Oryzias latipes: one gene and its partner. The protein of the gene in region 1 purifies or fractionates together with the protein of each later gene. This does not show direct contact. Links are inferred from orthologs where the notes say so. Each region holds a gene or a part of one and is shown in the gene's direction. Other genes may lie near its edges.

Evidence for each region.
Region 2: the proteins of zcchc10 (region 1) and neurl4 purify together in Homo sapiens (co-immunoprecipitation; 3 studies listed by BioGRID and IntAct, with this or other methods). This does not show direct contact. The link is inferred for Oryzias latipes from reciprocal best matches to the Homo sapiens genes ZCCHC10 and NEURL4.

What each region holds. Positions count from the first base shown.
Region 1 is NC_019872.2:6,660,905-6,673,482, reverse strand, and holds zcchc10 (zinc finger CCHC domain-containing protein 10), read left to right. Parts: upstream 1-4,346; 5' UTR 4,347-4,424; coding exon 4,425-4,465; intron 4,466-5,311; coding exon 5,312-5,473; intron 5,474-8,880; coding exon 8,881-8,922; intron 8,923-10,173; coding exon 10,174-10,408; 3' UTR 10,409-10,624; downstream 10,625-12,578. Other genes in the region: heat shock 70 kDa protein 4-like, read right to left, coding at 234-374, 505-562, 1,716-1,822.
Region 2 is NC_019876.2:14,646,113-14,658,758, forward strand, and holds the start of neurl4 (neuralized-like protein 4), read left to right. Parts: upstream 1-5,868; 5' UTR 5,869-6,110; coding exon 6,111-6,275; intron 6,276-8,822; coding exon 8,823-9,336; intron 9,337-9,412; coding exon 9,413-9,478; intron 9,479-9,550; coding exon 9,551-10,014; intron 10,015-10,614; coding exon 10,615-10,726; intron 10,727-10,804; coding exon 10,805-10,893; intron 10,894-10,970; coding exon 10,971-11,043; intron 11,044-11,903; coding exon 11,904-12,177; intron 12,178-12,268; coding exon 12,269-12,450; intron 12,451-12,524; coding exon 12,525-12,610; intron 12,611-12,646. Other genes in the region: shbg (sex hormone-binding globulin), read left to right, coding at 1,310-1,446, 1,562-1,751, 1,960-2,087. UniProt on the Homo sapiens protein: Promotes CCP110 ubiquitination and proteasome-dependent degradation. By counteracting accumulation of CP110, maintains normal centriolar homeostasis and preventing formation of ectopic microtubular organizing centers.

The sequences.
Region 1 (12,578 bases):
AATTGGACCTAAATATTTGTATTTAAATGGCATATTTTTCACAAAGATAACAAAGCTTATCCACCGAGTTACATTAGCACTAGAGCTGTATGATTGACAGGAGATTCATTTCAGATTCCAAGAAACTTTTTGTCTCTTCAACTGAATTCCTCAGAGAATAGCAGTGGAAATATTCTCTTCCCTTCATTGCATCCAAACTGAAATCAAAAGGAAACTGCAAATATTCATCTTACTTTTAAACCAGTGGATCCAGAGGGCATCTGCGCCACGTCATATACCAAGTTGGACTTGGCTGACTGAACGTAGGGGTCTGAGAAGGCCCTGCCATGGAAGCGCTTGAAGCCCTGAACTGTGTTTTTATAGTTGGTCACTGCCTGAAACGGGGAACAAAATTCAAGAGATTTACCATAGAAACGGCACAACTTTATTACCATCTCTTTCTTTTTGTAATTTTTTTTTTTTTTTAAGTTTGAGCTGAATAGCAAAGTAGCTGATGTGACTTACCTGACTTTTTGCAGAAGCTCCAATAGATCTATTTCGTGGCCCAAATGATACAAATGACCTGGAAAAGCAAAGCAAAATGTTAACTTATCAAATCAAATCAAGCTTTATTTATATAGAACTTTTATAACTCAGGTCACTCAAAGTGCTTTGCATAAAAATATAAATCAGATTAAAAACAAAATGACAAGACAAACAAGTGTTTTGTTTAAACATTGTAGCTCTGATGGTCTATTACAAACAGAAACATGTCAGTAATTACCGGTATTGTGTTTTATATAATATTCAAAAATCAAGACCAGTTCACTTGGCACAAAACAATGAACTACCTGGCATAACAATAATAATAATATTCATTCCTGAAATGCAAATGTTGACCTCGTTTATAAAGTGTTGTTATTGGTAATTAATCTCCAAAGCAACATTTAAAAAGGTGAAGTGTAGTGTTCACAGAGCATAGGGGGGGGGGGGGGGGGGGGGGGGGCTGTCAGGTGCAGCTGCTGCAAAACTGGCGTTGATAACAAATGTCTTGTTAGAGACTCTCAGGGACAATGAACGATAAAAAAAACATAAGCACAATGAATGGATGGAGAGTTACGATTTGAAGGTGGATAGAATAACGCACGATTTACTACTTTTTTAAAGATACATTTATATATTGACATATTTAAGTTAACTTTTACAATATATACTTGGCAAATGAATTTGCTTTAAATGGTTTTATATATATTTTTAACAACCATTTACGTTTTTGGGCTGTTCAAAGTCTATTTACTAGAATGTTCTAACACACGAGTTTGTGACGTCACCAGTCTGGTCAGAATGTCTTGTTCAAGGGACTAACCGGCAAGTGAGAGCTAACGCCACCCAGCGATGCACAGCCAGTGAACACCATTGACTGTTTGAGAAACACCGCCCAGCTGGTTTTTACCGGCCCGCAGAAAAGAAATAATCGAGCGTATCGTTTCCAAACGGCTCAACGATGCTCAGTAGTTAATACATTGACGAAAAGCCGAAATTAAATCTAAATTATAAAGGACTATTTAGTGTTTGGGGGAAAAACTGCGTTTAAATGGTTGTTTTATTTTCTCTCTGTATGCTAGTTTGATGAACGGTTACTAGCCAGCTGCTGCTCATCATGATGAAAGTAAGCAAGCACACACAGACAGGTTAAAAAAAAATCATGCCGCTAGTTAAAAATATTTATTACTTACGGTGTACATCTGTCACTGTACTCGTTAGCGACTGTTTCAATTCCTCCAGCTCGTGCAACAGCAACATAGCAGCTTTGATATCCCAAGTCAAATCCCACCACTGACATCTTTTACGATTCGCTTGTCTTTCAACTTTAAGGTTGTCTCCAATGCTTCTTATCAAGGAAAAAATAATGAAACAAAAAAAAGGTCTGAAGTGAGTAAAGTTGTCTTTCAGTGCGATGTTAAATAGAAGTTTTCATAATCACCACTGGTGTCTGGTGCCGGTGTCTTTGGTCAATGCTGACAAGCTCCAGTCGGCAACGGGATTTTACTAACTTCTCGCTTGGTATTATCGCGAGAGTTGAGCAGTTCTAGATGTCTCTCGACTTTTCCACAACCATCAAGTGAATAACAGACCGTTCTGGTTCACTCCAGGTTTTAAGACATTTATGTTATTTTTTAAGTCGTTTTTACCAGTTCTGTCAACTATTATTCTATTATATAACTATTATATACAACTATTATATAAAATTCCTGAAACAGTGTTTTGTCTATTTTACTGATATGATACAGTATTATTTTTTATTTCACATCAATGACTTTTATAAGTAACATAATCTTCATATATTTTGGATACTTCATTGCCATGTTGATTTCTAAAAGTTATTTTTTACAAAATAATTTAAGTAATTCATCTTTGTCATGTGCTTTCTAGGAACCGGATATTGATAAATCATGTAATAAAATGGTTACAGTAGAACAGGGGTGGAATTATATAAATTCGCTTCCTTCCACTCCCTTTCAAGCAATACTTAATTTTATGTCTAATTATACTAAGTTTGATTAGTTATTTTATAAATGTATAACTGACGATTGGATTGTTTTTTTGTGTATTATTCCTATTTGATTGCTTGAAATAAACCATTTCAAATCAAAAAATCAAAAATTATTGTTAACTATACAAAACAAAAATCAATGTCTAAAGTAGCCTGTGTTTTTAGTCAAGAATTAGAAGGTTTTTCATATTTTTTATACCGTGCAATACTTAAAAAAACAGACTTAACACATGTCTAGACCAACTTGTTATTTTATTGCTGTATATTCACTGCCCCTTCTTATATAAATAAAATTCTACTGTACTCTAATCTTCAATAATACTTTTTGTTATTAAAACTTTTGTGATTTAAGCTTTTCAAAGTTAGCCTAAATAATGAAAATGATCTTGTCTACAATAGGCATAGATTTTGCTTTTTAAATTTTTTATTCAGAGCAAATAATAATTTTTTCGTAAGACAGTCCTATGAGAAAGCTTTTTTGTTTTATTTTTTTCTTTGTTAACATACATGGTAAAAACATTTGAAATAAAAAAAAAATAAACAAACGAATTGCAACTTTAATAAGAATATGCATTGTATTTATTTTTGTCAGAAATTAGCTAAATGATGATGATAATGAGTATGAGATTAAAACAACTGTAATAATAACATAAACAAGTACAAAAACATAACAAAACATGCAAGCAAAACTGCAGTACTTCAACCCAACTACAATAGTACAAAGAATGTGTATCAATTAATTAACTTGGTAATACTGGCATCATATTGAAATTGGCAGACAATTAGGTTTTAACGTATCTGTTTCATCTAATTCAAATATATTAATTTGTTAAAATTAGGGCTGCACGATATGAGGAAAACTCGCGATATGCGATATTGGTGATTAATATTGCGATAACGATATAATTTGCAGTATATAAACAAATATCAAACCAACCAAAAACATCATTTCCATTTCAATGCAACAGCATAAAAATTATACTCCAAATGACCCTTGTCGACATAGGAGGCAAACATCAAACATAAAAGGGCTCATTTGATTGATCAACAACGTAAACGAGTCCTTCCGATTGGTTAAATGCATAAAGGGATTTATTTCATTTATTCAATATTTCAAGCTGCCATGAGTTTGTTTTAGCACATTTAACCCTTGTGCTATCTTAGATGACCCCCCCTTACAGTGACGTGTTCTTCCTACCATGACAAAGGTGGATAAAGGTGGAAAGATTTCATGTAATCCATGGACACCAGTGAAGATCACAAATCCTAGAAGAAAAAAGGTTCAGAGCACTGTTTAGTGGGTCTAGATGACCCCACTCCCAATGTTAAAGTGCTTAGGATAGCACAAGGGTCAAGGTAACCATTTATTGCGATTTTGCCGTCTTTTGCGGTATGCATATTGCACAGTTTGATGTCGCGATAACGATAAATTTGCGGTATATTGTGCAGGCCTAGTTAAAATCCATATCAAAATGTTGAATGTACAATCTTGCTGCTGCTAAAAAAGAAAATACATTTTTACATGATTTTTCAGTTTATCTACTATTTTTAACACTAAATCTGAAAAAGTACAAACTTTAACTCATCATCTAGGTAGTTTGTATGTTTGCTTATTTCCTTATTTGTACTATTGATGTTGTAACTGTGTTGAATTATTAGAACCACTGAATATTATTTCTACTTAATAAATGCATTAAATTAATTTAACGCATTTATTAATAAGGAAACTATAAAGAATTTTTGTTATGAAAATTTCAAAAATAGTGGGAAAAAATGAACATGACCTTAAAAAGCTTTATCCGTTTTTACCACTGGGGGCGCTGAATACATTAACTTTTCCGGAAGCTCGTTGTGAAGAAACACCACAGAAGAAGTTGCATCAGATTTTAACATGGCTACTCCTATGCACAGAATAATTGCCAGGAGACAAGCGTGAGTATGTTTTCGTTATCACAACGTTACTGATTCCATACCAAATTTATGTGAAGACAACATATCGATAAACATAAATTACACTTTTTTGTTGGGTGCAATATCCTATAGAAGCGGTAAATAACGATTATTTCACTGTTTAAAAACAGTTAAGATGCTGCGCTTCTTCTTTCGCTGTTCACACTTGTTTTCCGCCATTAACGCCCCAAACTAATTATCGATACAACCGCACACGTTCCTGAGGATTTTAGTAGACATTAAGGGGCGGAAAAACTACATTTTGTTTGTGTACAATCTAATAAAGAACGAGCTTACTGCATAAAAGTTGGGATAGAATTCAGTAGTTCGTGAATCGTTGATGGCCTCACCGACCGTGTTATGTTCACTTACTTGGGTAGTAATCAATTAATTCAATAAAATTGGGTTTAGTAAGAATCTGACGCAGGAAAAAACAAAATTTTCAGGACTTTTATAAATCCTTTTCAAAATATGAGATTTTATCAGTATCCACTGTAATATAAAATATTGAATTTTTCTTTTAGTTTGGTTTGGTTTACTTATGCCAAAATTGTTTTATGAACCAAATGGATTTGTAGTGGCCTTTTTTAAAGTGGAAAAAATCAAATTAAATCTAATTGTGAACTTGGAAGCTACTCTGCCTCAATATATATCATCTTCATATTTAAAAAGAAAAATTCAGAGGTTCAACCTCCGTCACTAAGATCAATTACAAACATTTTCTTGTGAAAAACTATCAAGTATTTCCAGGTATTTATGGATTTGGCCCATTTAACGTACTCCTTTTGTAGTGTTGAATCTGAAACCTCTTTTTTTTTTTTTCTACAGGGAGGCAAACAAACAGCATGTACGATGTCAAAAGTGTTTGGAGTTGGGACACTGGACCTATGAATGTACGGGCAAAAGAAAATACGTCCACAGACCATCAAGAACAGTTGAGATGAAAAAGAAATTGAAAGAAGTCGAAAATAAACCACTAAGCATTACTGGGTAAGGTCACTTATTCTTTTCTTAAATATCCTAATTGTATTCTTTCTTAAATTTGAATTTAACCACAAGGGGGCACAATTCAATGCTTTCATGTGGCGAATCCCAAGTCTGTAAATGCTGGAGGTTGTGACTGTATACAATATGAAAAACATAACCAAATCCAAAAACGGAACCACAGACAGAACTGTTCTACCAGATTGGCTGTAGAGCGGTTGGTGAGGTGTGCTGTAGGTGTGACCGAAGACTTCAAGGTGGAGGTGGGACTGGACAATGGATCAGCTTGAACTCTTCATTGTTTGATGTGATGATGGACAGACTGACAGACGAGGTTTAGACAAGAATCTCTGTGGACTGTGATGTTTTCAGATGACACTGTGTTCTGTAGTGAAGGAACATCTAGAGAGGTGTAGGCTTGTTCTGGAAAGAAGAGGAGTGAAGGTCAATCTCAGAAGGACAATGAGGAGGATTCTGGTGAGATTACAGGGAGCCGGGGTGAAGAAGATGGACGACTTGAAGTATTTAGAGGTCAGCAGTCCAAAGCAACAGATTGAGGAAGGATTCAGATGTGATGTGTGACAAAAAAGTTTCAGCAAGAATGAAAGGAAAGGTGCAGAAGACAATGGAAAGAACAGCCTTAGTGTTGGTTTAGACTAGAGCAGGGGTGGGCAATTCCAGGCCACGAGGGCCGGTGTGTCTGCATGATTTCCAGATACTCTTGCCCTACTCATGGCTGATTACCTGGTTCAGGTGTGTCCAGCCAATCAGAACATGCCAGAGCAGGGTATGCTGGAAAACATGCAGGACTGCGGCCCTCAGTGCCCACCTCTGGACTAGAGCATGGTTGTCAGAGTCCAGGGGGGTATTCCAGGAAGCATGTTTAAACTACCCTGACTTTAAGCCTGAACTCTGGCTGAAATCCGCCTGAACTTGCTTACTCTGGGTATGGCGGTTCCAAAAGACCGGATATGAGTTGGCGTAATTACGCTCGACTGGGTAACCCTGGGTTACCGCACGTGCACAGCAGGTACATAAAGACATTCTCAATGGATCGCCGATATCCCAAGTCACCATGGAAACGCGTGGAGAACAAAAGAGAGCGCTATACTTCAGTGAGACGGAGTCTGAGATTTTAATGACGGCGTATGAAGATTATACGCCCATCAAAAAGTAACACGGCTGCATCAGCAAAAGAGAGTTTCTGCTTGGAGAAAAAGAACGGAGAAATAAACGCACAAGTTTCTGATCTTATTTAAAATGACATTGTGACGTATATAAATAAAACTTATCGAACTTAAAAAAATTGATTCAAATGGTAACAAGTGATGGAATTAAATTTATTCAACCTAATTTCTTACGTCTATAAAACTCTAATTGTTTTTAGAACTCAAATTTACATAGTTATCTAACTAAATGTCATATTACTCCAAATCAATTAAATGTTTTTCCATCTCAATTTATGGTACTTCTTGAACTCTCATATGTCTAAGTTAGAGGCTGCAGATTTTCTCATTTCTATAACATTAAAATGAATGACATGGTGTGAATTTACAATATATACCATGCCTTTAATTATCATGAGTCTGACTGTAACTTCAGTTCTTAGACTGCACTCTTGTACTAGTGCTGCTAAATAACCTCATCCTCCTCTCCCTCCCTCTCACTCATGGTGCAGAAAGAATTAAACATAACAGGATAAAATAACACAGTAAAACAACAAAACACATTTGGTCAAAAGAAAGGTGTGGATTCTGACACCCCTGGTTGAGAGACTCTGACAAGAAGAGCAAAGATGAAGATGTTGAGGTTCTCTTTGGAGGGAGGAGGATGGATTGCATCAGGAATGAAGTGATAGTAGAGCACATGTGTCAAACTCAAGGCCCGCGGGCAAAATGTGGCCCGCCGTGTCATTTTATGTGGCCCGCGAGAGCATACCACTTTTTCATTTCTTAAAATAAAAAAAGGCGTATAATTATTTATTTTTTGGAAATAAGTGTTGAGCTCCAATCTACACTATCGGATCTCAAAGACAAACCCATCTCTATTGAGCTATTAGCCCCTTTATAATAATGAAACGATTCAGCTGGGTCGTCATTCGGAGCGGGAAAGTGAGAGCGGAGCAGTCCATCAACTGACTGACTGACTGACTGCGCTGGACACTTGTCTGCCCTGCATGCCGCATGACTCCCAACGAGAAGCTGATTGCGCAATCCGCTTTCCAGCATTGAGCCCAATTAATTTGAACGCGCAGAACGTTGAACATCGCACACGAGTCATCCCCCTTTCCTCTCCCCACAATCACGGTGCAACAAAAGAAGCAAACATAACAGGAAGAATTAACTAAGGGTGGAACAACAAAACTGATGGATGGAAAGAAACGTAGGCAACAAGAAACACCCATTCTCAACCCTATTCTGACCAGTGGACCGCATCCCACAATCCCCCGTGCAATACGTTGGGTCTGCTGGAATACCCACTATCCCCCGCGCAGTTTAATGTTTGCAGGTCTGTATGCAGACAAATTGTTGTCATCAAACAATCAGTTGGATGCAAGGCTGTGTGCAGCCTTTGTTTTTGTAAAATGTTGCTTGTGTCAAAAAAGTTATTTCTAGCTCAGTTTTATGTTATTGTATTTTTACTCACTTGGACAGTTTGATCCTTCATTAATGGAGTTATGTGGGTTTTAACAAGCAGACAATATTTTAACAGATTTATGCTAGAGTAACAAACAAACATATGTTTTCTTTGCAACTGTAATTGTCACTTTAAAATGTTATAATAAATAAATGAGTTATTTAACATTAAGGAGTAGTTGCATTCATTTGTCATTACATTTAGTTACATGTGTGAGTTATATCTGGCCCTTTGAGGACAACCACTATGCTGACGTGGCCCAAAATAAGTTTGACACCCCTGTATTAGAGGAACGGCTGAAGTTAGATGATTTGGGGATCAATGCAGGGAAAGAGATTGAGATGGTTGGACACATTGAAAGGCGGGACAGTGAATATGTTGGTAAATTGATGCTGAGGTCGGAGCTACTAGGAAAGATCAAAAGGTTCATGGATGGAGTTAAGGAAGGCATGATGGCAGTCCTCATGTAAGCGAGGAAAATACAGAGGAGAGGGTTGGACCAGGCCTGGTCCTCGGGGATCTACCACCCTGCCTATTTTCCTTTTGCTGCGGATCACCTGGACCAGGTGTGTTCATTCGTCTGAATGTGGAGACGTCTGATTGAGCTAATCAGCAGCTAGGAGGTCTGGACAACAGGCAGAGTGGTAGATCTCTGGGACCAGGATTGAGCAGCCCTGCAGATGATGTGGTGACCCCTAAAGGGGGCAACCAAAAACGGAGAACTTCCCCATTTCATTTTTGTTTCAGGTTTAAATGAAACTCCTTTCTGTTCACAGACCAGGAAGGGAAGGTTCACACGAGAAGAAACTCAAAAAGAAGTAAGTAGGAATTGCCAGATGTTAATTAAACTTTGTTTTTTAAGGCAGTTTTCTAAATAACTACATGTTCTAACCTGCCAGTTCTTCAAGCATAAGGTTAAAAAAAATCACATCTGCAGTAAAATTCACTTAACATTATGAGTGAAGCGCATTTATGTGGACATCCTTCATGTTTAGTTTTCATGTGAAATATTTGTTCCTAGTAAGACCCTGACTTGAACTAAATTTAAAAGATGTTTTAAGAATAATGTAGAAGATAGGAGGAGATTTCCAACAACATCAGGAGAAGCAGAATGGAGGGAATTCTTTGTGTAAAGATCAGAGGTAAAAACTTTCACAGAATTACTGCCAGCATTGTGAAGTAGATTTTTCCAGGTGACAGGAGTGTGGTATATATTTATGTGTTTCATGTCAGAACAGTGTTCATAAAATAAATGATTTTAATTTGCTTCACTTTCAAATGAACAGACAAGAGGAGACAACAGATGAATATTATCATTTTAGTATCAACACACCACTATAATTTCATTAATATTAGTTGTCAAAGTTATTCTGGGTGTTGGCTCCCTCTAGTGGATTATTCTAGCTACTACAGGTTTCCAGCTCTTATAGTTGGGAAACAAAATTTAAGTCTTTCTTGAAATCCGAATGCTGTTTGTAAAAAAAAAAAAAAAAATTTAAAAAACGCAACTACATATGGTCTTCATCAAGTTAACTAATTGAAAGTGATTTTTTTTCTTATCTAGTTTTCTTCTAACTTCCAGGGAGTAGAGAGCATGTCAATGTTTAGACTTTTTAGAATTTATTATATCTTTAAATGTATTAATTTTTTATTCATTCTTTGACAGATAAGGTTTTGTTTTGATCATGTATAAAATAGTTCTGTCTGTTCTTTTAACATATTTAACAGCATAACACCAAAGTCAGTGTAAATGGAACATAGTCGCACAAATGCTTGCGTCCAAAAATGACCTGAATCTGCTTGGCATGGCCGTTGTGCAGCTCAAGTCATCTTAAAAAAGATTCGTTTAGTGACTTTATTCTTCATAGGATACTGGACAGTCTGTGACATAATAGCTGACATTGAGCTTGATGGTAACCAGAACAGACTGGCCGTGTCTTCCTGAACATTTTTGTTTGTTTGCTGCCTGATTCCACGGCAGAAACACGGAAAGCACAGCATGACGCGTGAAGCTGCACACGCTTCTGTTCACTTATGTCTTTGCTTTGTGCTGCCCCTCTGACTCCCAGAGCAAAAGACGCCGACGACGGCAGCGGGGCCTCAGGAAACTCCTCCAGCGACTCCTCATCTGACAGCAGCGACTCCAGCTCTTCCTCTGATGACAGCGACAGCAGCAGCGACAGCGACAGCTCCTCGTCTTCATCCACAACATCCTCTTCCTCTTCATCCTCGGACAGCTCGGACTCGGGGAGCAGCAGCGATTCAGATCAAGAACCTCCTAAGAAGAAGAAAAAGAAAAAATAGAAAGGGAATGTTGTTGTTTAGTTGTTTTCCTCAATAAACTTTTCTAAACTCTCTCGACTAGATGGCACCAGAGCTGCACAGGTTTGGTGGGGAGGAATTCGGCTGAATAGTATTTGATCGTTGCATCTTCTGCTTAGAAAATGTTTCTATTTCTGAGAAATGTTCATATGTTTATATTTGGATTCTGGATACAAATAAAATGATGATAAAAAGCAATATTACTAAAACTTGGTTTAATACATTTAAAAAGAAATGTGTTCTGTTTATTAGTTTTAATGTAAAAAAGGTTAAAAAAAAACGAAATGTTACAGTTGAGGGAGTACTCGATAAAAGAGAAGTGTAATGGGGATTTTTCTTTATTTTAAATATAATTTAAAGTTTTTCCTTTTTGAAAGAATATAATAGTAAGGTCAGTAGTTTACTGTGTCTCACATGGATGTAACGTTTGTAAACGTCTGAAATTATGCGTCTTTCAAAAGACAATATGGATTAACATTTCAGGACTAATTCACAATAAAAACAAATGAGTGAGACACTAGTTTTTTGCTTCAAAAATAATTTAGGTAATTTACAATATAATTACTAAACTATTTTGCATTTTAAATAAGAAAAAAAAACTTTCTGGGAGAGCTGCTATAAGTATGGCATTTCACTAAATGCAGTGCCCCAAAAGATTAGAAATGTAAACTACTGCAAGGATTTCAAAAAGTATGGTAATACTTGCAGAAAGGACTGCAAATTGATGGTACTTTGATTAGGATTCATTTAATTTTCGGTAGGTTTCTCTAAAATGATCTTTTAGTGTATACCTGGAAATTTAAATTACAATCAGACCGTGCATCTCTAAGAAGCTGAATTTAGATCCTTTAGAGATGTTGAACCAAAAGAACAATGGTGTAAAAAGAGTTAAAAAAAATGTGTTGACATGTACCTGATTAGGAAAAAACTGTGGCTCCATACAATCAGCAGGGAACAATGAGAGCTGTGCGTGATTTCTACTGAACGTCAAGTCTGAGCCAGCTTTGCGTCAGAATGGTGTTGCGTTCACAGACAACAGTAATTATTACTACTCTCAAAAGGTTGTCTTCCCATAACATCCTAATGAACTATATAATACATTTTCAACATTTGTATACGTGATATCACGTTCTTTGTATTTGTCTCAGACGTATTAAACATTCTTAAATTCAGTGTATATTTTCTTTTTTGTGTATTATTTCACGTTGAACTTTCGAGTTTTAATTTTTTTTAAATGAGAGCATTTTTAATCTAGTTGAGCATAATCGACTGCAAGGAACTAAACAAAGCGATTCCCGTGGGAGTGCCTCCACATTTGCCCCTCTAATTCCGTTTATGACGCTGGGTGGCGGTTTTGACAGTTTTCTGACAGGCCGTGAAGGCAGCTTCTTCTGATGCCATCCATGCATCCAGTCCTGTCTGTGGTACCTGCTGGCTGCCTCACCACTTAGCTAGCAGTTACCTATCAGTCACATCTCTTCGGGAATAACAAAATGAACAAGGAGGCAGGATGACTTCATTTTGTTTTCCCCTCGTTGTACAGTTCCGCTTTGAGGGAAGACTTTTAGTGTAGTATTTTAGCTGTTAAAGCGTTTGGCTCACTTCATCTTGCGTGTAAAAACTGGAAGTGGAAAAGACAAAGAAAAAAGAGCTTTCCAATAGCTAGAATGGTTTGGGCCTAAAAAGAAGACAAGAGGTAAGAAAAACGACTGTCGCAAAAACCGGTTTTTGTTTTTCAGCCGTACTTTCGGTTGTCTGTTGTTTAGAGTCAAATTTTGATGCAAGTTTCTCAAAACATAAAAGGATTGATAGCTAGTTAGCTGCTAGCTTAGCTTACGAAGGCTACTCGTAGACGCTAGTCTTAAAGATGCAGGTGTTCTTAAGGTAGCTTATTTAGCCTTTAGCCAATATTTGAGCTGGACTATTTTTAAGATCTATTGACCGATAAATGATTTCTAGCCCTCGTACGTGAAATGTCACTCGTTTGCTGGCTTTCTGCCTTCAGTTCCCGGTCTAGTATAATTCAAACATCGCAGCGGTGTTTTTGTTTTTGTTCCTGTAACGCAAACTAGCAGGTCATGACGTTTATCGGTGCTTTTAATTAGTTTGATAACCAGCGCATGAGTAGACCAAATGAGACACTTTAGCTTGT
Region 2 (12,646 bases), on another chromosome or scaffold:
GTTCCCCTCCCATGTAGACTAGGGTCTTTTGGAGTATGATTTAAATGATGTTGACTTTTCTTTGAGTTCATCTGTTGCAGTGATATGCACATTGCATTTTTGGTTGTTTTGTTATTTTTTCATGTATCGCAAGTTACATCGTCATCGCAATATTGATCACTGATATCGCAAATCGCAAGTTTTCCTCATATTGTGCAGCCCTAACACCTGAATGATTTTCCTTTTTTGTTGTTAATCATGTGAGTGACCAATTTTCTGGAGTATAAATCACAGTAGCCAAAAAAAAGGACAATAAAGAAGAAAAAACAAATATGCTCTTTTGGCAGAAAAGTGTAATGTGTCTGAACAAATCCGCCAAGCCTGGTGTAAGGCAGCAATCACACCAGATGCGATTCACGCGTCAAATTAGCTTTCACTTTGCGAACAGGTTTTTTCTTGCCATACCTGGTGCCTCTTTGGACGCGTGTTATATTCCCATCCGCTGCCTTTTATTTTCACGCGCATCAAGTTAGCGTCCTTTGCCTATTTCGATGCACATTAAAGTAGCGTTTGCTGCCTTTTTTCAACACGTGTCAAATTAACATCCCCTGCCTGTTTTTGACGTGCATCAAATAAACATCTGCCACCTCTTTTGATGCACATAAAATTTGCATCTTCTGCCTCTTTTTCAACGCGCATTAAATTTACGTCCACTGCCTCTTTTCATGTGCGTCGTCACGTTTTTAGCTTTATCGCTTCATGGAAGCTGAATATCTTATTTACATGGATGGAAGACACGGATAATGTTAAATAATGTTAAGAGTTTAGGTCTATTTATTTGGAAGAGTTCAACAAAAACATCAGTAAACAAGTCATCATGACTGGTTTATGAGATCATTCAGTCTTTTTTTTTTTTTCAGCTGTACTTCTGTCTCCCTGTAAGCCAGTTTGATGACTTGTTGTCCCACATTAAACAATAAAATCAAGAGCAACAATGTCTCGATCCAAATCAGAAAAAATATTGTAAAGTTCAGGAGGAGAACGATCATATTCTCCTCTATGTTTGTTTTGGACGGCACTTCTTCTTCTGCGTTGCTGTCAGTAGCAAATACTGACGATGCCCTCTAGTGGTTGTTAGTGGGAAACAACCGCTAGAGGGCAACCAGTAATCCATACGAACCAATACTTTTTTTTTAAATCACATATACGTCAATCCTGAGTATAAGTCTCACCCCTGGCCAAACTATTGCAAAAAACACAACTTAAACTCTGAAAAATATGGTAAACTGCATTTCTTTTACTGTTGTGACCTACTTTTGTTCATTTAAAGTTTTTCAGACTGATGAATATGCTGCGCTCAGGGTTGAGCTTTGGGCGGATTTCCGTCAGATGAATGGAACCATTCTGAGCATAAAGCCTTTACAAAAAGAACTGGAGTTTAGGGTGGAAGCCAGTAAGAACACAGAGGTACATCTGAAAGTTCACCTTAAGTCCTAAAACTTTGTGTAAAACCAAAGTTTTGCAAATAGATGAAACGAGAAGATGGGATAACCACGTTTGTCTCTTTTCCTCTGATTCTCAGGAGCTCACAGTCAGTTTCAGGGAGGAGAAGTTTATTTTGAAAAGCACTTTCAAGAAACTACTCATTACGTTCTCGAAAAGTGAACTGAAAGTGCTTCAAGACGGAGATGAATCACAAAGCACAACATTATCCGTCAATCCAGAGTTGACAACTTGGAGAGAGGGTCTTCTCGCAATTGGGGGTCTTTTAGGTGAGATCAAACATTTGTAATGCATGGATTTTTAAAATGTCACATTTCTAACTGATTTATTGAGAGCACAAACTTAAAAAAGTGTTTACAAGTGAGATGGAAAAAATTAGGATTCTCTTTTTTTTAAAAGAAAATCCATTGAGTTGATAGTCTCGGGCTGTGCAGTCCCCTCTAACGTTCTCTCCTCTTCCTCTTTTTCATTCATCAGGTGAAGGTGAGGACGGCTCCCACTTCTTGACAGGCTGTCTGGAAAAGATCCAAGTCCAGGGAAGGGATTTGGATCTGGATTTAGCTGTCAAGCACATGTCCATCTCCTCTCACAGCTGCCCTGCATAAAACAACAAAAGCATGCGCTGCATGTCAGCAGCAGCTGATGCCTTTATTCTGTCTAAACAGAACGATAGACCCACCATCAGACTGAAAAATAATCTGTTATAAAGTCCAGACACAAAATAAAAATGAAGACCTTAAAGCTGGTCTGGAAACTCTATAAAATCCTAATGAAAGATGTGAATAAACAGATGGAGAACGGCTAGAAGAGAGAAGTTTTGTTGCTTTTTTTCCTTTGGTTTACATTTCCAAACATTTAATCACTCAAACTACTGTACATGGAAACTATTACCTACCAAAAATTCAACACTTGAACAAAGACCAAGTAGCAGCCATCAGAATCTAAATGCATAAAAAAAGACCAAAGTAGATTGTATTAAGTGAAAGCAATAAAAAAAACGACTAAAAATGGAAAAATGCAATTGTTTACGTCAACAGATAAATAATCTGAGAGTTTTATATTTTTTTATTACTTCATGATTTTTGAAGGGATCTACAGAACAGATTGTGATTGTAGTTGTTTTTAAAAGAAAACATCGGTGCTCAGTTTCATCAAATGACATTCATAATTAAAAAAATGTTCCTAAAAAGATCAAATAATTAACCCCTTCTATGCCTGTTGATCCACATATGCAAAATTACTCCAAATTCACCTGAATTTAGCATCTAATTGAAAGAAAAAACATAAGTGATTAGTTTTTAAAGCTGGAAATAAATTCAGGCGTCAAGCGGTTAGCTAAGAATTGAATATGTTTTTGTGCATAAAACCAAATTGAATGATATTACATATAAACAAAGGAATATCTTTTTGTTAAAAGCCAATCATGTAAATCCTGCCAAAATAATGAACCAAATTACAACCATAAAAATGTTCCTGGGTTTCAATATTGTTTTGAGACAAAGGGCATAAATTACCCTCATTATTAAATCTAATTCTTAGAAACTCTTTGCATTAATTTTTATTTTATTTTAGAATTCAATTCAATTTTATTTAATTTATGTAGCCCAATTTCACAATAGTCGTCTCAATGGGCTTCATACCGGTAATTCTATAAGAACATGAAATCGGTCGTGAAAAAATAGGTAATTGCTCAACTAAACTAAACAGACTAAACTGAACTGGGCATCCCTTCTTGGTAAAGAAAACCTCCTAAAACTCCATATGGAACTGAAAAACAGCAGGGAGCGCAAGACAAGCCAGTGGCGAGGTCAACGGCCAAGTACAGGAGCACGGGCGAGCCAACTGGAATCTTCTCTTCTAGTTCTCTTTACCCCATATATAGTGATCAATTATTTATCATTTAATTCTCCATGCCTCTGTTTGGTGCGGTGCAATTCATGTATTATTCCTCTTTCTTACTCCCCTGGAAGGGAGCAGGGGTGATTCCAGTGATTCCGGATTATTTTAAAATGAATGTCTGAAAGTTGGGGATAAATGAGAAAAGTTTCTTAAAACATTTTTTCTGCATGTGGGAAAAGGAGGTAGAAGCTTTCAAACCAAAAGAGTGAGGGATTTAGCAATTCAACTGCGCCCTCTAGTGGTGAACTGAAAACAAGTCAGCTTTAACTCTTTTTATTATGTTGGAAAAAAATCTTCAAGTTATTAAACATTTACATATTCAGTCGTTTCTGCACTGAAAATGTCCATAACACATCTTCTAAAATATTTAAATTGAATAAAGATGAAGACAACAGACCAAACTTCGATCATAAATCCATTCTGGTGGTTATAATTATCAACATAATTGTAATTATTATTATTATTATTGGGTATTTTCTTAGCCACTTCCCACAAATTGTTTCATTTTTTCACCCTAAGAATTTAACGTCATAACTTTATATTAACCTATAAACTACAGATTATTAGCTGGACTGGTTCCCTGGTTTAGACTAGTTTATGCTGGATTCTGAGAATGTATACATTTATTGCAGACCTTCCATTGAAACTACATTTTATTAATCCAAATCAAAATATTTTTCCATATGGTTTAAGTTTTAATGAGAACCTCAGGAGAAAGAAAATAAGAATTGATGGTTTGTCCTGAAAAAGGAGAGGAATGAAAGTCCACTCCCAAACAGAGAATGTGTCTGTATGTAGAAGAACGGTGATGTCATTCGTCACAGATATCAATTCAATTCAATTCCATTCAATTTTATTTGTATAGCCCAAATTCACAACAACAGTCATCTCAATGGGCTTCATATCGGTAATTGTAAGGTAAAAATACAATCAAAAAAGGATCATGAATGCATAGAATTCAATAGGATAATACTAAAACTTTAACTAAACAGACTAACTAAACTGGGCATCCCTGCCCTTACAACCTCCTTCGTGGAGGGTGTGATATGGAGGCGGGAGAGGATTTGAAGGTCTTTAGGATCAACAACGTTGCGTTTTTAAAGCATTTGAAATAACAACAAAAAATGTACCCTTCACTAAAACAATGTCTAAACTAAAACATTTAAAGCAAAAAATTCCTGGAAAATATGAGGAAAACTTGCAATTTGGGATATTAGTGCTTAATATTGTGATGAGGATATATCTTGCATTACATAAACAAATAGCAAAACAACTAAATATATCATTTCCATGTTATTGCAAGAGTTTTCATTAAATAAGAGTCAACATAACTTAAATTACACTTCAAATGATCTTTGTTTAAATAGGAGGTGCACATCTAACATGAAAGGGCTCCATCTGATTGGTCAAATGCATAAAGGGATTTATTTAATTCATTAAATAATTCAAGCTGCCATAAGATTGTTTAAGGATATTTAAGGTTACCATTTAGTGCAATTATTTATTTATTTTTTATCTTTTGCGATCTGCGTATTGCACAGCTTGATATTGTGATAATGATAAATTAGCGATATATTGTGCAGGCCTATTGTACACCATGTACTTATAGTGTAGAAAGTAACTGAATACTTACTTAGACTAACATGGAATATTTTAGGTTTACAATATATATATTGTAAACCTAAAATGTTCCGTGTTAGTAGTGTATTTAAGTTTATATACTGTCTATATTATAGATGGTATATAAACGTAAATACACTACTTTGCTGAGGGGATCCACAAAGAGAGCAGATTATATTTTTGTATATGTAATTAAAATTATGCTCTAATAATTTTATTATAGAATTGAATTGCAAATTAAAAGATCAAAAACTGAGTAATAGCTGAGGTGCTATTACTAACGCTTAAAGAAGGCTTGTATTGATGATTACCTAATCTTTGTCAGTAATTATACTAATATTGACTAATATGGGGGCAAGTGGGGTGGGGCCAAATTTTTTGTTGGGTGCAGTTGCCCCCCCAAAGCTCCGCCCCTGGTAGCACTGCGTTTCTGATGTTTTTTCCATTATATAACTAACAAAAGGACAGTTCAAGTTTATTTTAAGTGTTTTCATTCAATAGTTGAATATAAATCCACAGTGGACAGTGTCTGTCTTATCATTAATCTTCCAAAAAAATCTGAATTTGCTGAATTCTTTTCCATTTTTAATAATTTACTGAACGATTGAACATGACAGAACATGGCTTAACATTCAGCAAATTGACAAAAAATAAATAGTAACTTCACTCAAAAGATGCAAATACAGAACAACAGACGATAAAACAAAATAAACACAATATAATAATGCAAGGCTTATAGGATTTTAAATTAAGTCACTTTCTAAAATTTGTTTTTAACACCTTTTTGTTAGTTGAGTCACTTATGGTTAATATAAAAAATGTAATTATAAAACAAAGTCAGCTTTCCACTTATTTGTAAATGTGATATTTTGCCATTTATTTCGAAACAAGAATCTTCTTTTACTGTATTTCTAAAGAATTTCAAAGAAAATTCCTTATAAATATGATACATTCTTAAATAACTTTTGTTCATTGAATTTGCTGAAGTAAAGTGACCTCTTTCCCGCGCTAAGTATCCAGCGCGACTTTCGGCAGCTAGCACATCGGGCTAACGTAACGTTACTGTCGCAAAACCAGAGTGTCGTGATTTCTGGCCGCCCCCCTTGAACATGGCGGCGGAGCTGCACCCGCGGAGCGGAAAGCTGATCGGCCTCTCCAACTCGAACCGAACCGCCCGGCGAAACCAGCCAGTCCAAGAGTTCAACCACGGGCTCGTGCTCAGCAAGGAGCCGCTGAGGGACCGGGATGTCTTCACCGTCCGGATCGACAAGAAGGTAAACAAGCGCGGGCCCGATGCTTTGCATTCTGCCACCCCGAGCGCCGGTGGTCACTCAGAGCAGCAGTGGGGGCTGTAAGTGGATAAACCCGGCTCTGTTTCATCTTGCCACCCCCTGCCGCTCTTCGCGTCTCTACAGGCCGCCTACCTGTTGTGGCGGGGGACTGTTGGGGCCGCAGCGGCGGCGCGGTGACTCGACAACCGCACCCTCGGCTCGGATGTACGGTAAACTGGTCGCCGGGCTCGCGATAACCGTAGGTTAGTTAGCTAGCTAATGAGATGCTAGCTGTTGTTGACTTTCTAGAACGGGTGTCGCTTCTAAAAAAATGAAAACTGTCGCTTCTATTCAAACACAACAGTAGCACAATGGTTAAAAAATAAATACAAATAATAATAATAATAATAATAATAAAAATTAGTTTTGCAATTTTGAAAGAAGTCGGTGCTGCCCAGGTTTCCAGAGGGATGCTAGCAGCACCGCCCAGCTGAAGGGGCTCAGAGGATGTTACTGAACTGATCATTGTTGTTGTTGTCTCATTTTGTGACTGACAGGGTGGGTCGAGCCTTTTCACCCCCCAGCCATTTACCTTTTTAGCACCAAAAAGCTTCCATCCATTTGTAAACAAGATCTGCTTGGTGTCACAGTTGGGGCTTAAAGGCTGAAATTAAATAAAGACAGACATGTTGTTATTGGTGTGTAACTCTTGTGTGCAAATTGACCTAATGGATTCAATGATCTGGTTATTAAATGCATCAATCTGGGTTTTAAACCGACGTTGACGAGTTGAAATCTTATTTTTATGTAAAATTGATCAGCTGGAGTGAAAAGTAAAGAACAGACAGGGGTTTTATTAATTTTAACTTTGTCCCTCCCCCCTGAATGCTGCCTGCTAGAAGCTCCTGGTTTGGCTGCTTTATCTGCAGGCTGCCAGGAGTTCCCTCTGCATACGCTTACGGGGCTCCACAGACCCACTCTGATCATGCAAATCATGTTGTTTTTTTGAGTTTTTAACATGTTCTTGTGGCGTTTTTCTGATGCTGGAGGACATAGATAAAGAAAATGAAGCTTAGTCTAGTCTCTCTTTATTCAGATCGTTGTGAATCGGGAGCAGACAAAAAGAAACATGGTTTGAAAAGCTCGTATTTGTGATGTAGAAATTAAGGGTGGGGCCGCTCCATTCCGATGCATCTTTTTGCAGACGTCTAGATCCATAAACGTCTTTGTTTTATCTCGTCTCGGCTGGTCTCTGACTCCAAACTGTACATCTGGATTATTGCTTCATCATTTTTGTTGTGGGGGTGTGTGAAAGGCTGTAAGCTAGTGGGACAGAGTGTAAACGTGGAGCTCTCAGTTGGGGTGATGGTAAGGGGTAAAGATGATTTTTCTCCGTTGTTTATTGTCATTTTCTAAAAATGTGTGTGTTGTTTTCTGCTTGGCTTTTTATCTGTCTCCGTTTGCTGCAGCTTGGCTGACTCTGCTCAAATAGAAGAGCACAGTTACGGGGAAAACGTGATTCACTCGTGTGAAATCCAGTCCTTTTTCTTACTAAGCGTCAGGAGACCTTACAATCAGAGTAACGTCACGATCAGTCACCTTCAATATTTGATGTTTCAGCTTTTGTGACTAGCTCCTTTTTTTATATAGAAGTACAGAACTGCAAGGACTTAATGTGCTTTACTGCGTGTCATTTTCTGTCATTTATTTCAGTGTTTTGTCTTCAAAGATGCTCCTCCTGAGTATGAAGATGCACTGCAGACTAAAAATAACAGCAAAGCTCTTTTAAAAAAAGAATTAGAACTTGCTTTCATCCCGCTGCAGTTTTACACAAGCTTTATCACCGATTGCAGCCCCATCATTTTTAAATATTATGTCTCTATACTGTTGGAGCTTCATCACACACCTCCTCCCTTGCTAAAGAAAGCATTTAAAATGTCAGCAATTAAACCTAAAACGCGTAATGTTTGCATGCCTTCTTACTACTGATGGATATTTTATAATTTATTTAAAGCGCAAATGTTTTGCAATGTCAGTAAGTATTACTTTCTTCATTTTTGGGGGGGGAACAGAAGCAGCTTCGGTGAAGCGTGCAAAAACAAAAAATGAGAGAAAGGCGTCTGTCATTGTGGCAAACTTTATTTTTTTTTTTCTTTTTTTACAGACATTGTGTTGATGTGAACATTTGAAAGATAAAAAAAAACATTTCCTGTCATTATTTTGTAAAATTCTTCATTTACAAAACAATCTGGAGCTCGTTAAGATGCAGATCTGCTATATTTTTATTTTTAAAAAAACAGAAAATGTCCTTGTTGTTGTTCTCAACATCAGCCTCGTCTGAAAGAATATCAGCAGTTCAGGCCAAAATAAAGTAAAAAAGCTGCCAAAACCTTGGCTTCACTCTTTGTTACCCCCACCACTTTAATTAAAAACTGCTTTAAAAGCCATTAAATGTCTGCATCTTGTGCGATGCTACTTAAACCAAAAACTGCATGAAGTTGGATTTTCTTTTTTAGTGGAAGCCTCCATCTTTTCTCCGTCTCCCTGCAGGTGAACTCATGGAGCGGTTCCATTGAGATCGGGGTGACAGCTCTGGACCCCGCCGCGCTGGACTTCCCCAGCAGCGCCACGGGCCTGAAGGGTGGCTCCTGGATCGTGTCGGGCTGCTCTGTGCTCCGTGACGGCCGCTCCGTCCTGGAGGAGTACGGCCGCGACCTCGACCAGCTGGCGGAGGGCGACCGCGTGGGCATTCAGCGCAACTCCCGGGGAGAGCTCCACCTCTGGGTGAACGGGCAGGACTGCGGCGCGGCCGCCAGCGGCCTGCCGCCTAGACTCTGGGCGGTGGTGGACCTGTACGGGAAGTGCACCCAGGTGACGGTGGTGAGCTGCGAGCCGCCTCCTGCAGAGATGGAGAGAGAAACAATAGAGCGAGATGAGGAGGAGAAAGAAGAGGAGGAGGAGGAGGCGGAGGAGGAGTTGGTGGTGTGTGGTGCTCGGGAGAATGGGGGGATCGCAGCACTGATGAATGTGGCAGCATTGAATGAAGTGATGAACGGAGATGAAGGTAAGGAGACTTGTTTTTTTAAATCATTTGATTCTATCTTCGATTGTTTGATCTGGAGTGACTCTCACTCTGCCAGTGCCTGAGCTGACCTGTAACCACAACAGACCAGACAAGTTCCCCAACAACCTGGAGCCCGACACAGGTAAGAAGATCCACCTGAGATCTCCCATCAGGAGGAGCACTGCAGGTCTGACGAGCGCCACTCTGTCCTCAGTTCTCACAGAGCACCAGCTCTTCGACGTCTTCAACAATGCAATAGTATCGTTTTATCGCTCTGAAGATGAGGGCGGAGGGGTAGATGGGGGAGGAGGTGGGACAGGAGGAGGAGGAGGAGGTGTCGAGGGGGGAGGAGGAGGAAACGCAGGATCCGATTCCTCTTCCAGAGGCGACAGAGGGAGCAGCGGTGGAGGAGGCACGACACACAGTGACAGTGGGGGAGCTGCAGCAGCAGGAGGAGGAGACGGGAGCTCAAACAGCCCCGTCGGCAATGGAGGGGCGGGGCTTGGAGCCGTGACAGGGATGACCACCAATGATGCGTTGCTGTTCCACGAGAAGTGCGGCACCCTGATCAAACTGAGCAACAACAACAAAACGGCGGAGAGGCGGAGACCGCTGGACGAGTTCAACAACGGCGTGGTGATGACCAACCGGCCGCTGCGACACAACGAGATGTTCGAGGCGTGTACACAACCTATTGACTGTATATGATAGCTGGATTGAGTGACCCCTCCCCCTGGCGATCCGAACAGGAAGTACCTGCTGGCTCCAAGAAGACAAGTCCCATAGACTTCTAGTAAAAAACAAACGGCTATTATTCAGTCGTTCTTTTAGTCAGAATAACCAATGTTCTTGCTAAGGTATTCCATTTAAACTGACCAATCAGATGCCTCGGTAAAAGTTTGTGGTCTCACCAAAACATTCAGAGCGTTTGGCAGATTCTCCCGAGTCCGCTCCCAAGTGGTGGTGGTGTGCACTCTCAGCCAGCTCACTCCTAAATGGCAAGCGTGGTTGCCATAGAAATGTCGACTTAAACCGACTTCGACCAATCGCTGCTTACTGATGATTTCTGGTTCCAACATGGCGACATTTGTATAGACAATAATGGCGACTGAAGTCATTTGGTTGGAACCAAAAGGGAACCATTTTCTATGGGTGACGTCACTCTCGCTCAGTCCAGTTCTCTTATACAGTCAACGGCACAATCCGACCTCTTTCTTCAGTTGGTTCCACTGGTTGCATTTGTTGCTGATGGGACGCCCATCTCTTGCTCACCATCAGATCCGCATCGATAAGCTGGTGGACAAATGGTCGGGGTCGATCGAGATCGGTGTGACCACGCACAACCCCAACAACCTGGACTATCCCGCAACTATGACCAATCTGCGCTCAGGTAGGCGCCCAGACGCTGACAGGAACGAAAGGCTCCAAACCCAGTCGTGTGACAGCGTGGCTTTGGCTTCCCCATCAGGTACAATCATGATGAGTGGCTGTGGGATTCTGACCAACGGGAAAGGAACCCGCAGAGAATACTGTGAATTCAGCCTAGACGAACTCCAGGTTTGGCCCGACGGGAACAAACGTGCCTTTGAACGTCACCTGCTCTCCGCTCTGCTTTTAACATACTTTGCTCGTAGGAGGGCGATCACATAGGATTGATGCGTAAAGCCAGCGGCGCGCTGCATTTCTACATAAACGGCATCGATCAAGGTGAGGCTTCAGAAAACCTGCGGTATTTACGCACCTTTGTTTCGTTGGTACACTGTGAACAGAAACTTTCAGCATTTGGTGCGATCAAATCAAACTTTATTTATAAAACGCTTTTTACACTTGTGTAACTCAAAGTGCGTAAAAATATTCTCTCAACCTAAATTCCAAAGGCAAAAAAACAACAAAAAACAATAAAACTCTATTTCTAAGGCAATGATGTAGTAGTTTGTTGTTAGTGCTGTAAGAAAACAAATCTGCGAGTATTTTGATGTGATCTAAAGTTTTGCCTCATAAAATTATTTATGTTCATATTTTTCCCTAGTTTTGATGTCCTCTTATTTTGAAAACTGATAATCTATTTTTAGAACATTGCTGTCATGTATTGTTGTCATTGACGTAATCAATTGACAATAGTAACAGATTAAGCTTTTTTAATGAGAAGTAAAAAAACAGACAAACACATTTTCTGTTCTGGTGGCTCAGTCTAAGGGGGAGGAGCTAATAGATTTTGGTGCATGGCTGGAGCAGCCTTCCTTCAGAAACCCTTAAACTTTCATGAATTCGTCCTAAAAACCCACTCCGAGTGTCCTCCTTCTGTGCTGAAGGTTGTTGCTCTAAGCCAGGGCTGGCCAACCCTGGTCCTCAAAGCCTAAACCCTGCCTGTCTTCCAGTCCTGCCTGACCAGCTCTCGGCTAACTCGAGTAATTCCACATCCTGATTGACTGAAAACACCTGGTTTAGGTTGTCAGCATCGAGTTGGAAACCAGGCGGGGTTGAGGCTCTCAAGGACCAGTGACAAACTTCTGGCATCAGTCGAAGCCTTTTTAATGCGCTGTAATGGATTTTGTTCTTGTCACCAGGTGTGGCTGCAGCTCAGACTCCGGCGGTGGTTTATGGAGTGGTGGACCTCTACGGCATGGCTGTCAAAGTCACTATAGTCCACAACCACAACCACAGCGACCGCCTCAGGCGCAACAACGCCATCATGCGGGCTCTGTCGCCAGACGTGGGGCGATCCCGGCCCGGCTTGTCGCTCACTCCGGACGCCGAGGCGCCCGACCGTCTCCTCTTTCACTCCAACTGTGGCCAGAAGGCCGCCATCATCTGCGAGGGCCGGACCGCGTTACGGCCGCAGTGAGCTTTATTTGTTCTTTTTGCAGAACTTTGTTAAATATTTCAATAGGGTTGAATCGGTGATCCAGGTTAACGCCGCTGATTGTTTCAGTGCGACCGACGATTTTAACCACGGCGTGGTTCTGAGCAGTCGGCCGCTGCGCTCCAACGAAGTGTTCCAGGTGCGGATTGACAAAATGGTCGACAAGTGGGCGGGCTCCATTGAAATTGGAGTCACAACGCACAACCCCGCCTACCTGCAACTGCCCTCCACCATGACCAATCTACGCTCAGGTGAACGACCGCGGTGCCTTTTTTTAAAGCAGGTCGGTTCGGCTAGTCGGAGGCTAATCTTTTGATGTTTTCAGGGACGTGGATGATGACGGGGAACGGCGTGATGCACAACGGGACGACCATTTTAGACGAATATGGGCACAACCTGGATCGACTCAAAGTAGGTGTTAGTAGATATCAGTGTTGGTCTTTGGGG